4 linked regions of the Caenorhabditis elegans genome follow. The protein of the gene in region 1 purifies or fractionates together with the protein of each later gene. This does not show direct contact. Each region holds a gene or a part of one and is shown in the gene's direction. Other genes may lie near its edges.

Region 1 (4,623 bases):
TTATTTATTTTTTTGCTGGAAAAATTTGAATTTCTTCTGGGTTTTGGGAAATGTGTTTTATTTATTTGAAAATAGCCCCCTTTGAAATGAAAAAAATTTTAAAAAAATTGCAAACAACCAACAACTTTTTGAAATATTATATTATTCAAAATTTTAATTTCAAGGTTTTGCTCTAATATATTACGTGAACACAAAATCTCTGAGAATGCGTATTACACAACACATCTTACGCGCAAAATTATTAATATCTCGTAGCGAAAACTTATGACTACTGTAGCGACCTTGTGTCGATTTACGGGATCTCGCGATTGTTGAAAATATTTTCTTTTCGAATTTTGACAGCGATATATTCAATTTTTCTTGGTTTTTTTTCGTATTGTTTTGTCGCTTTTTTGCTTTTTATTCAATATTTTATTTATAACTAATGGTAAATTATTTTAATTGAAAAACGTATTTTCAATAAAATAATTTACTATTATTTATGGTTAAAATATTGAATAAAAAGCAAAAAAGTGACAAAACAATACGAAAAAACGAAGAAAAATTGAATACATCGCTGTCAAAATTCGAAAATAAAATATATTCAACAATCGCGAGATCACGTAAATCGACACAAGGGCGCTACAGTAGTCATAAGTTTTCGCTACGAGATAATAATAATTTTGCGCGTAAAATATGTTGTGTAATACGCATTTTCAGAATTTTGTGTTCCCGTAATATATTAGAGCAAAAACTTGAAATTAAATTTGTGTATAATATATTTCAAAAAATTCTCAGAATTTTGTGCTCCCGTAATAACATTTACATTTTCTAGGTATAAAATTCGAAAAATAATAAAATAAAGAAAACTTCCAGGAAATTTACTAAATTCAGGTATTTTTTAAATTTTTTTCAAAACATGTATATAATTTTTCCTTTTTCCCATTTTTTCCAAATATCAGGGGTGGGCGGCAAACGATTTTTTCCGGCAAATCGGCAAATTGCCGGAATTAAAAATTTCCGGCAAATTTGCTGAATTTGCCGAAATTAAGTAATTTCTATAAAAATATGTAGAAAAAACGGAAAATATTCAAAAAGACACAGTTTTAAGCGTTTCCGTTTTATAAAAAATCCCTCTAAACATTCAAAAAAATGATATCCGGCAAATCGGCAAACCGGAAAATTGCCGGAATTAAAAATTTCCGGAAAATCGGCAAATTGACAATTTGCCAAAAATGAAAATTTCCGGCAAATCGGCAAACCGGAAAATTGCCGGAATTAAAAATTTCCGGAAAATCGGCAAATTGACAATTTGCCAAAAAAGAAAATTTCCGGCAAATCTGATATTCGGCAAATTACCGAAAATGAAAATTTCCGGCAAATCAGCAAACCGGAAAATTGCCGGAATTGAACATTTCCGGCAAGTCGGCAAATTGACAATTTGCCAAGAATGAAAATTTCCGGCAAACCGGCAATTTGTCGAATTTGTCGACAAATGCTGAACGGCAATTTCCGCCCACCCCTGCCATATATATACATTTTCATTGTTTCGTAACATTTTTTTCATCAAATAATTTTTTTTCAAGTACAATTTATTTCAATTTACAGATGCTTCACGCGTCTCGTTCACTGATTCGCACGTCGTCAGACCTGCACACATCGATTCGAAATTCTTCATCGACAAAACACGTATTCGCATGTGTTCTCGGTTCCGGTGTAGCTGGAAGCTCTGTAGCTTATCATTTGACGAAGAGAAATATCAAAGATGTACTCCTCTTGGAAAGAGCATCCGGTAATTAATAATTAATTAATTGGAGGAAATTTTTGAATGAAACAATATGATTTTCGACTGAAAAATCAGGAAAAAAAATTTTTGCCTGTAAAATTACAAAATGTCTGCTCAAAAAACGGAAACAAACGCAGGAACTTGAAAAATCAAAAAATTGAAAAAAAAACACTTTTTTTTTCGTTTGGACCAACTTAGGGAGCAGTTTTTGAAGTCAATTTTCAAAAAAAAAGGGTACTTGTGCACTGCAACTTTTTCCTCACGAGGGACGAGGAAAAGTGGTTTCTAGGCCATGGCCGAGGGGCCGACAAGTTTCAGCGGCCATTTATCTTGCTTTGTTTTCCGCCTGTTTTCTTTCGTTTTACACCGATCTTTCCCCCGTTTTTTCTTAATAAAACTGATAAATAAATATTTTTTGCAGATGCTAAAACAATTTCCAAGTAAAAAAATTATGTATTCAGTGGGCAAGCAGCGGTGAAAGTGGTCAATGCAATATGATGGATTACGGGAATACCAAACCTAAACTTTTTTCCAAACATGATAAATATACCGCTTAGATGTTGAAACTACCTGATTTTCATAACGAGACCGCTGAAAAAGTTTTGAGGTTTTCAAAATTCAAATTTTTTAGTGAAAAAGTCGAGGTTTTCGCACAAAATGTCGAATTTTGAAAACCTCAAAACTTTTTCAGCGGTCTCGTTATGAAAAAAGAATACATAATTTTTTTACTTGGAAATTGTTTTAGCATCTGCAAAAAATATTTATTTATCAGTTTTATTAAGAAAAAACGAAAAAAATCGGGGAAAAACGAAAGAAAACAGGCGGAAAACAAAGCAAGATAAATGGCCGCTGAAACTTGTCGGCCCCTCGGCCATGGCCTAGAAACCACTTTTCCTCGTCCCTCGTGAGGAAAATGTTGCAGTGTTGTGTATTACATGCCCTCATTTTTAAATTGAATTAAATTGTCATTAATTTCTCCAATTAAAATAAACGTGATATACATTTTTCCTCTTTAGGCTTAGAAAATGTTATTTCCTAAGCCTAAAAATACAAAAGTGTGGTTCACGTTTTTGTTTTTCATGGCTTAAAAAATTACTATTAAAATGAGTATGGCATGTAATACACAAGTACCAAAAAAAGTAGTCGATTTTTTTAAAAAATTGCTTTATTAGACTCAAAATTGTCTGAAGACATCGAATTTCAAAATGAAACTTCTTGAAAAAAAGTTTTTTCTTTTGAAAAAAAAATGCAACAATATCATGGAAAAAACGTGCGAGGCTTGCGAAAAAAGTGTGCGGGGTAGTTGCGAATTTGCTCCGCCCACTGCATCCTGTTTTCCTGTTTTGGTGGGGTCTCAGACAGATTTTTAAATTTTTTCTACCGAATCTCGCCGTCCATCGACTTTAAAATACCTAAATCGAGTTGAGAACGCATTAAATTGTATACCCAAAATTTAATTTAATTTAATTTAATTTATTACGATAGTAAAATATCGTGAGGTAGAAAAAAAAAACACACATTAATAGATACAAACCATCACAAGTGGTTACATAAATAAATTACACAAATAAAACGAAACAAAAATAAAAAGAGATGAGAAGAAAATGATGGCTACATTGGAGAAGAAGCAAAAAACAGAAATATCGATGTATAAATGGCAAGAATAAATGATGGATAGAAGTGAGGATAAGGTAACATTAGATCAGTGTTGCTTCATTGTGGGTAGTGTTCTGTTAACAAAAAAGTGTCTCCTAAGTTTAGATTTTCCTGTGCTCCAGATATATTTCTTTTTAGAACGAGTGTGGGTCTCTTGTTGCTCAAAAAACTCATATGTTTTTAAGTCTACTTTACCAGTATTCATTCTGATTATTTGGATTCTGTCAATTATTTTACGTCTCGTGCTTAAGGTTTGGAGGTCGAATAGTTCGTTACGTTCCATGGCAGTTTTGTAATCTTTATCAGTTGGATTAATATATCTTTTTTTGATTCTACTATAAAGGCGCCTAGTGAATGCGTTTTGTACAGACTCTATTGCTTTCTCATCCGATTTTTTTGTCGGAGAAGACACTACTGTTCCATATTCTAAACGAGGGCATATGAAAGTTTTGTATAAGAGAATCATTAGTTTCTTATTGGAGGTACTGTACTGGTTGAACATGTTGGCCAGTTGAAATTTAGCTAGATTGATACATTTCCTCCAATGCTCAGAGAAATCCAGCTTTTCAGAGATTAAAAATCCAAGGTCTCGGGTAATAGCTTTTCGCTCAATAGGGTAACCGTCTAGGTGGTATTTGAAATCTATTCTACGTTTTCCTACTGTGACGTGAACTGTCTTAGATTGGTTTAGAGTGAGTTTTGATCCCCTTGTCCAATCTACTACAGCATCTAGAGCAGACTGTAAATTGTTTTCGCTTTCAGTCTTAGGGGTCGATACATACGATTTCGTGTCATCTGCAAACTGCTTACATGCTACTTTTTCGGGTAATATTGATGATATATCATTAACATAGATACCAAACAAAAGTGGTGACAGAACTGCGCCTTGTGGGACGCCACAGGTGGCCAATTTTCTGGATGACAGCGTTTGCCCAATTCTAACCCTAAAGCTTCTATTTGACAGAAATTCATTCAACCATATCAGTAAATTTTTGTTCATTCTTAAAGATACGAGTTTATCTAAAAGTAAGTCATGTGGGAGCCGGTCGAAAGCCTTGGAAAAGTCTAGGTATATGATATCGATTTGCTCACCGAGATCAATACTTTTAGTCCAATCATTCAAAGATTCTAACATATTAGTCACCGTTGATTTTCTGGGGCGGAATCCATGTTGATTTTGTGACCAAAATTTGTTATCTACT
Region 2 (5,166 bases), on another chromosome or scaffold:
TTACCGTGCATTGACTGTCGCCGAGCTTACTCAACAAATGTTCGACGCCAAGAACATGATGGCTGCTTGCGATCCAAGACACGGAAGATACCTCACCGTTGCTGCTATGTTCCGTGGACGCATGTCCATGAGAGTAAGTTCATCGATTGCTTGTAACTTTTCACTATATGCTTTGTTTTTCAGGAGGTTGACGAGCAGATGCTCAGTGTCCAGAACAAGAACTCCTCGTACTTCGTTGAATGGATTCCAAACAACGTCAAGACTGCTGTGTGCGACATCCCACCACGTGGACTCAAGATGGCTGCCACCTTCGTCGGAAACTCCACTGCTATCCAGGAGCTCTTCAAGCGTATCTCGGAGCAATTCACCGCCATGTTCCGCAGAAAGGCCTTCCTTCATTGGTACACTGGTGAGGGTATGGACGAGATGGAGTTCACCGAGGCTGAAAGCAACATGAACGACTTGATCTCGGAGTACCAACAATACCAGGAAGCTACCGCCGAAGACGAGCCACTCGACGAGTTCGCCGGAGAAGGGGAGACATACGAGTCTGAGCAATAATCTGTGTATCAATCACTAAATTATCCTGCCCCGTTTCGTAATTTCCTGTACAATGATCTTTTCTTTCGCCCACTCCCAATATTTTTATGACTCGAATGAACGATGATTAATTTAAACTTTTTTCCAGTGTTCTCATTATGTTTCAATCATTAAAATATCTTGCAAAAGCTCGATAGAAGGTAGACACTGGTTCACAATTTTCATATTCAGAACAATGAAAGACACAGTCGTCAAAGGATCTCTCAAGTTGAAAAAAGTATCGACAGAAGCGCCAAAGAAGACTAAAAAGAGTAAGCCAGCTATGGACTTGAAGCAAGTTGACATGACGATCAGAAGGTATGTGTAATCCGAAACCAGACAGCTAACGGTCCCAGAGATTCCAGAAACACTTCCGGCGGTGGGCCACACAAAACCGAGGCTGAGCTTCGGTTCGAGGCTAGAAGACAGGCGAACATGGTAGGCGCTTTTTTTTTTAATACTTAAAATTCACATAATTTCAGGCGGAAAGAATGCTGAAACAGGCGGCGTTGAGTCATCGTGAAAAGGTGGAGAAGTTGAACAAGCAGCTCGGCGAGATGACAGAATTCAACGACATTCCAAAAGTTTCCTGGACGAAATAATAATAATAATCTCTCTCTCTCTCTCTCTCTCTCTCTCTCTCTGTACTTTACTTGAATCATTTGTGCATAACTGTCAATAAATCTTTTTTGGTTTTTTTGCTCCAAAATGTATATTTTCCTTGATTAATTCGTGAATTTTCGTAGCTTGAAAATCCTGTACTTCTAATAAAATGCCATGGCCACGTCATTATAATTCTCCAATAATTCCCACTTTGCGTCAAATTCGGCGTATTCACAGACAAAGAGTGTCTGCGTCTCTCCGTCTCTCGCCTCTGTCCTCACACACGCCCTCATTTGCGCGAGAGCCTGACACCGGCTCCGTGAAGCTGGAGCCGACTTCATTGATTATTCGGGTTACTGGCCTCACACACACGTTCTTCTCAAATTTCAGTGGAACTCGAGGAAGCTCAGAATTTATCATTTTTTCATATTATCTCCTCTTTTGTGCATTTCCCAATTTCCCACGCGTCATCGTCGTCGAATATTGATTGAGTTGCCCTTTTCTCTCTTATCATTTTCAACATCACGTTTCCGCATTTTCATTTCCATCGAGTTCAAGGTTTTTCAGTTTCAGAAGCACAAATGCTGCGAGGTAAAGTGGATCCGAAGAAGGAAGAGCAGGAAAGACTGCAAGGCTTCCTGTTGGACATGCTCAAGGAAGAGGAGAACAAGTATTGTGCCGATTGTCAGGCGAAAACGCCAAGGTGAGAATTTGAGACGAAAATCTGGAAATTCGCGAATTTAATATAGTATATTTCGGCTTAAAATCGTTATTGCAGTAAATTTACAGGTTTGCCGGAATAATTCTTTCGAAAACTGAAAAAAGTCAAAAATTATTTTTCCGCTTGGTTACAGTTTTTAGACTTTTTTTGTCAATGCAAAACCTTCGCGGATTTATTGGTCCAAGGAATTATTCCGATAAATCCACAAATTTCAAAATTTACCCCAAAAACCGTGCCAGGATTGCAAAAATTGCAGAAATAACAACAAAAAATCAATATTTATTTCAGATGGGCTGCCTGGAACCTCGGCGTCTTCATCTGCATCCGATGCGCCGGCATCCACCGTAACCTCGGCGTTCACATCTCAAAAGTGCGCTCAGTGAATCTGGACTCGTGGACGCCCGAACAAGTGCAGACGATGCGGGTGATGGGCAACGAGAAGGCCCGACAAGTCTACGAACATGATCTACCAGCGCAATTTCGGCGGCCCACCAATGATCAGCAAATGGAACAATTCATTCGGAGCAAGTATGAACAGAAACGGTATATTCTGCGAGATTTCGTGTATCCAAGAGTTGACGCGAGCCAGCTGCCGAAATCATTGTCTCAGGCACAGAAGAAGGTCGGAACGCCCGTTGTGAACATTGCATCACGTGGAAGTAGCTCTAGCAATGGACATTCGACGGCTTCAGCTGCTGCTGCTGCTCCATCGCTTCTAGATTTTTCTGATCCTCCAGCCAGCACAACTCCTGCTAAGAAGGCCGTCAACTTATTCGACGACTTTGATGGATTAAGTCTAGGACCAGCGGCTCCGGCAGCAGCTCCAGCTGCTCTCAACGATGATTTCGACGATTTCGGATCATTTGTCTCGGCGAACTCACAAAATGCTCAACAGAATGCTCAATCTCTTGGAGGAGGATTCGCCGATTTCTCATCGGCTCCAACGACAGCAGCTGCAGCGCCTTCAGCTTCTTCTGGCCTCGATGGTATTGAATTTTCACCTGGTCTTTGTCGCAAAAAAAGATAATCAAAAAATTGAGGAAAAATGTATGAAAATTGAACCAAATTTCAATTCCTAATTTTTATCCAAAAAAAAAGTCATTTTTCGGGACCTTGGAAAATCGAACAAGCGGGAACCAAAATTCATTTGTTTTTCACTTTTGTAAATAATTTTTTTAAATGATTTTTCCTTTTCAGATCTCACCGCTCTCTCCTCAACGGCTCCAGCGACAAATGGAAGTGATCAAAAGAAAACCAACGCAGATATTCTTTCGCTTTTCGGCCCATCTGGTGGCATATCGGCTCCGAATGTAGTTGCTCCCGGAGGATTTGCCGGATTTGGACTGCAAGCTGCTCCGGCTCAAATCCCGCAACAAGCTTCTTCGTTCCACCAATTCGGGGCTCCAGCTCCAGCTCCACAACAAAATGATATGTTTGGAGGACTGTCGGGTATCAATTTTGGAGCACCACCACCATCGGCTCAAATGTCTCAAATCCCACCAATGGCTCCACCACAATACTTTGGAGCTGCTCAATTTGGAGCAATGTCTTCCAGTGGATTCGGTGGAATGAGTATGCAGTCTAAACCAACGCCTACTTCACCAACTGGATCACAAGGATTCAATATTCCGAATAAATCGAATGCTTTCGCTGATTTGGCACTTGGAAAGGTACAATTTTGGCACTTTTGAGCGTTAAAATTCTAGATATATTGAAGAAAAAAACTAGAAATTTAGCAAAAAATTCAAAATTAAAATTTTTTTCCAAACAAAATACCCGTTTTTCGATAACTCTCGCTTTATGCTTTTTTTTCAAGCAAAATACCTTATTTTTCAGAAAAAATTGTCTGATTTTCGTTGAAAAATAAACGAGTATAATCAAGAAAAAATCATATCATTTTTTACCAATTTTTGCATGAATTATTAACTAGAAAGTTCCGGAAAAAACATCCAAAAGCACAATTAATTTGGATTTTTGTTTCAAATTTCCTAGGTTTTTGTACCGAAAAGAATTCACATTTTTTATTGAATAATTTCACAATTTTTTTTGGAAAAAAACCAGCAATTTGATGCAATTTTTTGAAAAAAAAAGTAAAGTTTTGAAAAAAATTTCGATCATTAAACTAAAAAAAGTCGAACCTGATTCGATATTTCTTGAAAAAAAAAATTAACCTATTATAATTTTTTTTTCCAGGTAATGAAGACAAACTACGGACAAAGTGCAATTCATCACCAAGCGGCACCAATTTCCTCTAATAGAGCGTCACCGATGCCGGCACAATCCAACACTGCCGCCAACAATGATCTTTTCGATATGTTCGCCTCGGCACCGCCACCGGTTACAGTCAATTCGTCTTCGTCTGGACTTGACGACCTCCTTGGACTCTGAAAAACTAGTTTTCCACCTAAAAAATGCATAATTTGACCTGTGATTTTATTTTTCTTTTCTCCCTCTCTAAACACTTTCTTTCCTAGGAAACTGCGCTTCTTTTTGTGATTTTTTTCTAGTAAATTATTATTCTCATCAACATTTCCCCCCGATAAAGTTCGGTTGTGTGAGCCCCAGAAATTCCAGTCCCTTCAGCATATCCGAAATGTGTATTAGGAATACTACAACTTTTTTTTCAGATTTCTATAGCCCCTCTCTTTTTCTTTCTCCTTCAACGTACTAATTCATGCTTAAACTGATTTTTAATGTGTTTTTTTTTCTGTCGAATGAAATTTATCGAGATTCCTAATCTTGAACTAAAATTTCGACTGAAAATGACTTTTGTCGACCCCCGGCGAAATAGTACGAGAAACGAGTAGCACGCAGACATGTTCGTCCTGATTCCGGTGGGAAATATCACACGAATCGTGGAGACGCAGCAGAAAAGCCGAATGAGGCGGAATGCGCGGGAGGGAATTGGGCTGAAGAAGACGAAGAAGATGAAAGGAAACCACAATTATCGTTCTTCGGTTTGAACATTTCGATTATTTTTGTTTTTCCTTTTTTTCTCTTCCGTTAGTTTTCTCGATTTTTCTGGAGATTCGGTTTAATCCGGTTTTTTTTTGCGAAAATTTAATTCCAAAATGTGCCAACTGTAAAGGCGCACATCTTCTACCCTTGCATGGGTTCTGCAACGATCAAAGTCAGTTTGAGAGAAGTGAGCATGTGCCTTTAAAAATTACTGTAATTTCAAACTTTCCTGCGAAGTTTCTCTCGAGTTTTGTTAAAATTTAAGTGTTTTATTGCTATATTTAATTTTAAAAAAAGCGAATGTT
Region 3 (3,561 bases), on another chromosome or scaffold:
TATTTCATATGTATGGGAAGGCTTTCAAATATTCAAAATAGAAAACTTTCCATGAAAACTATTCCGGTTTTTATAGTAATTATGACATAAAATTTTTCAAATGTGCTTATGAACATTTAAATAATTTTTTTAAACATATTTATATATTTTTGTTTTCGGTTTAGTTCTAAGCTTTTTTCATATCAAGTTTTTAACTCATATTAACTCACTTTTCAAAATTGTATTAATAATGTTCGAATGTGAGAGATGATATTAATTTTTGCGGTTTTGATAGGTCAGCTTATTATCTATGCTTCTGAAACTACCTTATTAAATCTTTCACTTCAGGATTTGCAAGAAACTGTCCACCCACTAGTTGCCATCCTCCGACACAACAAGGGACAAAAAGTCGAACAAGCTCCAGTGTTTGCTGATAAAGTGTTGTATTAAAAAACAATTTATTATTATTAGTATTATTATTTGTGTTTTCTGATTCAATGGTTTCAATTTAATCTCCGATCCACTCATTTTGTATTTATTGTTCGACTTAACATTTTTATCCAACGCGACTCGATAAACATTCCCTATCAATCGTTTTTTTTGTTTTTCAGCTTCATTTCTTTTCGCTAAGGAACTAATATAATTTTTGGCAGAATAATATTGTTCATTGATATTTAAATCAAAAATACAAATAATATTATAGGAAATTCTAGAAATTTCGACATATCAGTTAAGAGGAACGCTATTACAAGTGTCAAGTTTTACAAATATGATTACCTAGTGTATAAAACGAATTTCAGGAAATTTTAATTTTCAAAGTGTACAGAGAAAGCCTAGATTGATAGATACTATCACTTTCAAAAGTTCCTTAAAATTCAAAGCAAATGATGATACTCATTTTAAAGTGAATTAAAATTGTGAACATAACATTCGAACTTTTTGGAGCTTAGGCCGGATAATAATGTGTTGAACTATACAGAAACAAAAAAGAAACATTTGAATACTTTGGAGTACATCTACTTTAAAAACCAGAAAAGTTTCAAATGAATTCACCAAATTTTTAAGAGTCTTTCAAATTAACATAATAAATGTTCTCTTATTTATTTATTTTAACTTTCACCACAAATTGTTCAACAAATTAATACAACTACTTGTTTTTTTTCCAGAAATGTTTAAATACACGACCAAAATCGACTCAAAATTTTCCAAAAGTAGCTCGTTGCCTAATTACCTTTATTTCCCGGCAATTCTGCCCTTATAATAATAAACCTTCATATTCATGATTAATGGCATCGATACTCCCCTCTCTATCTAATGGCAAACACTATTTGTCTTTCGCCACTCACCACTCACTAGAGAGCCATGACTTGTGAGAGACGCAGAAAACAAGGCAATGGAAAACGCGCTCCATTGCGGGTCTCGGGGTCGTGAGTCAGTGTTGGCTACCCTCGCCGTATGAAAACGTTGCCATCACGCCATTCCATGCCGTTTTTCGTCGATTTCGTGTATTTCGCAATTCCCGATCTGCTCATTAATTCCATTTTCCTCCTTAAAAAGCAGTATTTTTGATTTTTTTTTGTTCTTCAGCAGCACCATGTCGCTCAACACGTCGCACACACCCGATGGCCAAGGCATTTTGATTTATAATGGAGAAATGTAAGTTTTTTAAATTCTTTCTCAAAACTGATTCTTTTCAAATTATGAAATAAGTTTTTATAATTTCAGGATTCTTCTCTACACAACAAATGTAAAGCTGAAGTTCGAGAAGTACAATGTTCCTGCGTTCAAGTCCACCAAGTCGGGAGCCCTCTATCTCACTTCACACAGAGTGAGTTTTAAAGTTTTTGAGTTGCAAATTTTCATTTCTGGATAGGTTTTTTTTTTCATTTTAGCTGAAAACCAAAACGTTTGATCCTAAATTTCAAATATTTCAACTTTATTTTTTCAGATAATTTTCATGAACGAGAGCAAGAAAGATGAGTTCAAATCCTTCGCGATGCCATTCAATTCAGTGCGAGATGTGAAACTTGAACAGCCACTTCTCACCCCAAACTATCTCAAGGTTTTTTTTTCAATCTTAAATGACTTGCAGTCACATTTTTAATTTTTCAGGGATGGGTTCAACCAATGCCTGGAGGCAACTTTGATGGATGTCCGGAATGGCGTTTGTCTTTCCCGAAAGGAGGATGCATCGAGTTTGGAGAGGCACTTCTTCGCGCTGCTGACATGGGTACGATTGTCTTGAATAGTTCCCATCAATGTTTTGGTTCTGTTTCAGCATCTAGAGCTCGTCCATTTGCTGCTCCACCAGCATATGGTGGAAATATGCAACAGCAATCAGGCACTACGTACTATGCTGCTCCACCGACATACTACTTGGTGCAAGGGACATACCAAGGATTCCAAGCTCCGACGAACGTTTTTCCTGAGCGCCCACCTGGTAAGATTTATGACGTAGTAATTTCTTCGAAACAAATTGTTTTCCAGCACAAAACGTCTACGTTTACGACATGCCTCCACCATACCCAGGAATCGGACAAACCACGCCGTATCCTGCCGGACAATTCCAGCCAGTCGGAACCGTCCAGTACCAGAATGTTGGGGCGTACCCTGGACAACCTCAACAGCCAGGACAATACCATCCTTATCCAACTAATCAACCACCGCAGGGAGGATTCAACGTCGGACAAGGAGCTGCTCCTCATCCTTCTACTCTTCCAGATTATAACAATATTCAACAACAATCTAGCGCTCAGCCACCAGCCTACAATGCTTACCAAGAAGCTCCACCACTTCCATCCAAAAATGGACCGTTGTAAAGTTTTAATTTATCCGCTTAAAGCTTATGAGCTTGTATTTTTCAAAAGTTCGTGGCTTTTCGACTCTTCAATCCAATGATTCCCGTCCTCGCTTTGTCCGTCTCCCCGCATGTTTATATACAACGGTGATGTTTAATTTACTGAATGAATGTAATTATTTTGATTTTATTGGAATATCAATTAAAGTATAAAACAAGAAAAAAAAGAATAACTGAACCGAGCTGCTCATCGCACTTTGTTAAACACCAAACAAAATGCGAAAACGGCGTCAAGAAGTCGTGTAGAAAGAACATATCGTGAATGTTGAATCGCGATGGAAAAATGTTGAAGTCGATGAAATGGATCAGAAGGTTTTAGAAAATTTAATAAACGCGTCCTCCAAGTCTGAATTAAGAATAATTAATTTACCAAAAACTAAAACCTCAGTACCTGTCAAATCGGCTAGAGTAAGAGTAGTTTCCACGGCTGAGAGATGACGAGAGGTTGAGCTCCTTCTCGCGACGGGAAGCCCAAGTAGCTGGTGAAAGCCAGTACTAAAATAGATTGCACTTCATTTTATTAAAAAATAATACTTGTGCAGAGTGAGTATCCAGTTGTGAGGCTTTTAATAAACCCGAATTTTGGTTTTTTTTTAAATTGAGTTTTAAAAGATTATATCTAGGCTCAAGTGTGAGTAAGAAATAAATGAGTATATACAAAACTCTAGAAAACTGGATAATACATATTTTTAGTTCAGCCAGTAATCAATTTTTGAATAATACAA
Region 4 (3,826 bases), about 13 Mb from region 1:
CATTATTTTCCGTCTATTGCCGGGTTTCACCTGGAAAACCTGCAATAGACGGGAAATAATGTAAAAATACGTTTGTAAATAGGAGTTTCCTCATCAAAATGAAGGCAATATTACACGTTTTTTTCTATTAAAACAGTTGGTTAATGAATAAAATTTTTTTAAGTACAAAAATGACTAAACAATACGAACAACGAAGGAAAATTGAATATCACTGTCCAAATTCGAAAATAAAATCGAGCCCGTAAATCGGCATAAGCGCTACTTTTAAAGAAATACTGTAATTTTCGCTGCGAGATATTTTGCGAGTCAAATATGTTGTAAAATACGCATTCTCAGGATTTAGTGTTCCCGTAATATCAAATCTATAATATCACGTGAAATAAGGGAATCAGTAGAAAAACCATCTGGCCAAATTTCACTACAATCTAAAATTCATTAAATCTTCAGATGTCTCCGGCACAAAAACGACTGGGGAGCAATGCTAATGATCGATGAACGCCTAGAACGTCAAACTGGAAATCTTGTGGGCGGAGCCTCGTCTGCTCGTGTCTCAAAATGGATTCGTGCTCAACTGAAAAGCTATCCGAGTTTTAAAGAATTTAATGCGAATTTTCGCGAATTCATCCAGCGTCGACACGCTGTTGAGAAAGCAAAAAAAGAGAATTTTTGTGAATGAATTAAACTTTTTCTAACTTTTTTTTTTCGATTAAAACCCCCGCCCCTTATCTTTTTTACGTGTAAAATTTATGATTTTTCCTCATTTTCTTAAACAATTTTTAGACGTCTTTTTTAAAAGTTAGAATCTCCCTAATGCATTGTTTTTACCCCTTTTTTCAAATCGATTTTCATAAAGCTTGGCCGAACTTTTTCTCTCTTCTCTCATTATCACTTATCAGTGTTTACCTTTACACCACTTGTACTTTGAACTGTGAAATGCTGACAACATTATAGCGTTCTCAGTAGCCTACGAGAATTTTTCTAAAACTTGCCTGGAACCAGTTTGAACGCAAAATTTTTCCCTTTCGAGTGTTCAAAATTAATTTTCAAATTTTCATTTTGTTCGAAAAAGGTTTTGGCGTATGACTCTTTCCGAATATCTTTGTGAAATTAAAAAAAAACTTCTCGGATTTAATATTTCAGCTTGAAATCTCGCACCCAAAACTTAACGCGCCAGAGGCAGTCTCATTGGGGCGCACCGTGCTGTGTCGATTTACGGGATTTTTCACCATCTGTCATGTTTTTTCAAAAACTTTTTTTTTGGTTATTATTTGGAAAATTGTTTTTTCCGTGTCAATTGAACATTTTATTATATCCAAATCACAACTCGATGAAAATCCGAATTTTCGAAAAAAAAAACGATAAATTTAAGGCTTTTTTAGTTTAAAAAATTTAAAGATATTCGGAATTAGGGGGTTGGAATAATTCAGTGAATGCGTCTTTGAGTATGAGTTTTTTGAAAAATTACCTATGTACTTGGAAAAAGGCCATCGAAATTAATAATATATTTTTGTTTCAATATTTATAATTTATTTAAAATTGTCTAATTTTTGCAGCCTCTGAAGAAAAAAAATGTTCAAACGAGTATTCAATCTCCGTTTTATTTCGAATTTCTCTCGCCGCCCGACATCTTCTCCAAAACTTCCGAAATTAATTGCAATCACTGGTGGAACCTCGCTTGGAATCGCATTTTTTGGAAAAACTGAAGAGAACAAGAATTTGGACTCAGGAAATGGACAATTAATTGATGGAAAACCGAAAAATTTCGATTTAATTGTTCGAAATTCGGATGAACTTTATGATAATTATCTAATCGATAATTGTTATAATATTTTGAAAAAGTGAATTTTCAATTAACTTTTAGAAATGTCCATTTTAACTTTTCTTTCCAATTTTTAAGATTTGAAAATTCCAATTGCTCCGAGCTTCTATGGCGTCTGGCACGTGTGGTTTGTGAGAAAGGAAAACTCTCAAAAGATCAAAATCAACGAAAAGAGCTCATTTTGGAAGCCTATGGAATTGTGAAAAAAGCTCTTGACAATGAGCCAAAGAATGGATGCTTTGGAGCACATAAATGGTACGATTTGGAGTTAAAACGCTATTTATTCCGGGTAGAACAACACAATTTTGCGAGAAAAAAAAACTATGACTGAGGGTGGAAATCGAAAACTGAGCACCTGCCTTTTTTGGCGGCTGAGTTTTAGCATTTTCTATGCCACATGGCTATCTTTAGGTATGCCATTCTACTGGATTACGTTGGAGAGATCGAGGGAAACAAATCGAGAATCGAAAAATCATTCCAAGTGCGGAAACATTTAGAGAAGGCGTTATCGATTTTCGAGAACGATCCAACAACGTGGCATATTTTGGGTAAGGGATTCCGGATTGAACAGAGAAAAAAAAAGAAAAATCATGTTAGAATTTATTCACGTGGAGTCAGACGGTCCCTTTTCGCTTTGATCTACGAAACATGCGGGAGGTGAGACGTAGACATCTCAACTGATTTCGCATGGTTAACAGTGTGCTTACGTCACAAATTTTCTGGGAAAAAATTCCCGCATTTTTTGTAGATCAAACCGCAATGAGACTTTCTGACACCCCGTGTTTATTCCGAATTAAAGCTCTACAGCTCACCGTTCAATCAACGGGGGCGGGCGGTGCTTAACCATTATTTTTTTTAGATATTTCTGCATTTCGCTTCGAGAATTAAAAAGAAAACCTCAAATTTCAGGAGTCTGGCACTTTTCCTTCGCCAATATGGGTTACGCGACTCGAATGGTGGCCAAAGCTATTTTCGCAACTCCACCAGCATCCACATATCAGGAGGCTCTACACTATTTCCTAAAGGCTGAACAGATTTCGGTAAAAAAATATCAGAATTCAAACACTTTTAGTGAATCTCTCATAGTCAATCAAAAACATACAAAAATGAAAAGTTGTCGACCAAATTTTTTTACACTTTGAACATTTTCCTCCACTTGGGAAGTAAATAGTGCCACGAAAAATTCAGATCATTATAGTTAAATTCAAATTTTCAGCCCGGATTCTACAGTACGAATACCTACTACATTGGCGAAGTGTACGAACAACTAGGACAAAAAGCCGAAGCACTTGATGCATTCAAACAATCATTCAAAATGCCAGTTGTGACTTCTGATGACGCGGTTATTCATAAGAAAGCATACGAGAAACTGAAGAAATATGGAGTCAAGGATACTGAAGTTGTTTAGATTGTGAAAAATATGTATTTGTAAGATGATTGTTGTAATTTTTAACAGAATAAAAATATTTATTTGAATTTAATAATTGTCTAATGTCAGCTAAATAATATTGTCGGAAATGAGGCACCACGGTTTCAAGATCTGGTGAAATTCCGGATCTACGTTTTCCGGAAATACGATTTCCGGATCTACGTTTTCCGAATCTAGCACCGTGCCAACCCACAAAACGCTTTTTTATTCACTCGACGCACGTTGTTTTTTGAAAATTTCTTCTAGAAGAAACGCTTAACAACACGCGACGCTTAACAACGGAGCATCGTTGTCACGTTTTTCTCCGAGAAAAATAGCGTTTTAAGAGTTGGCCAGATCCGGAAAACGTAGATCCGGAAATGGTAGATCCGGAAAACGGAGATCCGGAATTTTACCAGATCTTGATACCGTGGTGCGAGGCACCACGTTTTCAAGATCTGTTCAAAAACAAGATCTACGAAAACAAGATCCACCAAAACAAGATCTACGTTTTCAGGATCTGGCACCGTGCCAACTGCGGTTTTCTCGAAGAAAACGAAACAACGATGCTCCGATGTTACGTTCGCGTGTTGTTTAGC

What was found.
Region 2: the proteins of Y37E3.17 (region 1) and smap-1 fractionate together in Caenorhabditis elegans (co-fractionation; one large-scale study listed by BioGRID). This does not show direct contact.
Region 3: the proteins of Y37E3.17 (region 1) and C18B2.4 fractionate together in Caenorhabditis elegans (co-fractionation; one large-scale study listed by BioGRID). This does not show direct contact.
Region 4: the proteins of Y37E3.17 (region 1) and F33H2.6 fractionate together in Caenorhabditis elegans (co-fractionation; one large-scale study listed by BioGRID). This does not show direct contact.

What each region holds. Positions count from the first base shown.
Region 1 is NC_003279.8:2,127,003-2,131,625, forward strand, and holds the start of Y37E3.17 (Dimethylglycine dehydrogenase, mitochondrial), read left to right. Parts: upstream 1-1,587; coding exon 1,588-1,771; intron 1,772-4,623.
Region 2 is NC_003281.10:10,736,376-10,741,541, reverse strand, and holds smap-1 (Arf-GAP domain-containing protein), read left to right. Parts: upstream 1-1,749; 5' UTR 1,750-1,763; coding exon 1,764-1,885; intron 1,886-2,191; coding exon 2,192-2,889; intron 2,890-3,100; coding exon 3,101-3,573; intron 3,574-4,096; coding exon 4,097-4,291; 3' UTR 4,292-4,649; downstream 4,650-5,166. Other genes in the region: tbb-1 (Tubulin beta chain), read left to right, coding at 1-133, 184-561; tass-1 (Protein FAM32A), read left to right, coding at 776-897, 936-1,017, 1,062-1,181.
Region 3 is NC_003284.9:3,603,747-3,607,307, reverse strand, and holds C18B2.4 (GRAM domain-containing protein), read left to right. Parts: upstream 1-1,566; 5' UTR 1,567-1,573; coding exon 1,574-1,635; intron 1,636-1,704; coding exon 1,705-1,807; intron 1,808-1,927; coding exon 1,928-2,041; intron 2,042-2,091; coding exon 2,092-2,209; intron 2,210-2,257; coding exon 2,258-2,419; intron 2,420-2,466; coding exon 2,467-2,798; 3' UTR 2,799-3,017; downstream 3,018-3,561. Other genes in the region: C18B2.5 (G domain-containing protein), read left to right, coding at 328-429; C18B2.3 (uncharacterized protein), read right to left, coding at 3,161-3,182, 3,228-3,331.
Region 4 is NC_003279.8:15,014,323-15,018,148, reverse strand, and holds F33H2.6 (Regulator of microtubule dynamics protein 1), read left to right. Parts: upstream 1-1,553; 5' UTR 1,554-1,569; coding exon 1,570-1,838; intron 1,839-1,897; coding exon 1,898-2,074; intron 2,075-2,230; coding exon 2,231-2,367; intron 2,368-2,728; coding exon 2,729-2,859; intron 2,860-3,035; coding exon 3,036-3,227; 3' UTR 3,228-3,295; downstream 3,296-3,826. Other genes in the region: dog-1 (Helicase ATP-binding domain-containing protein), read left to right, coding at 448-676.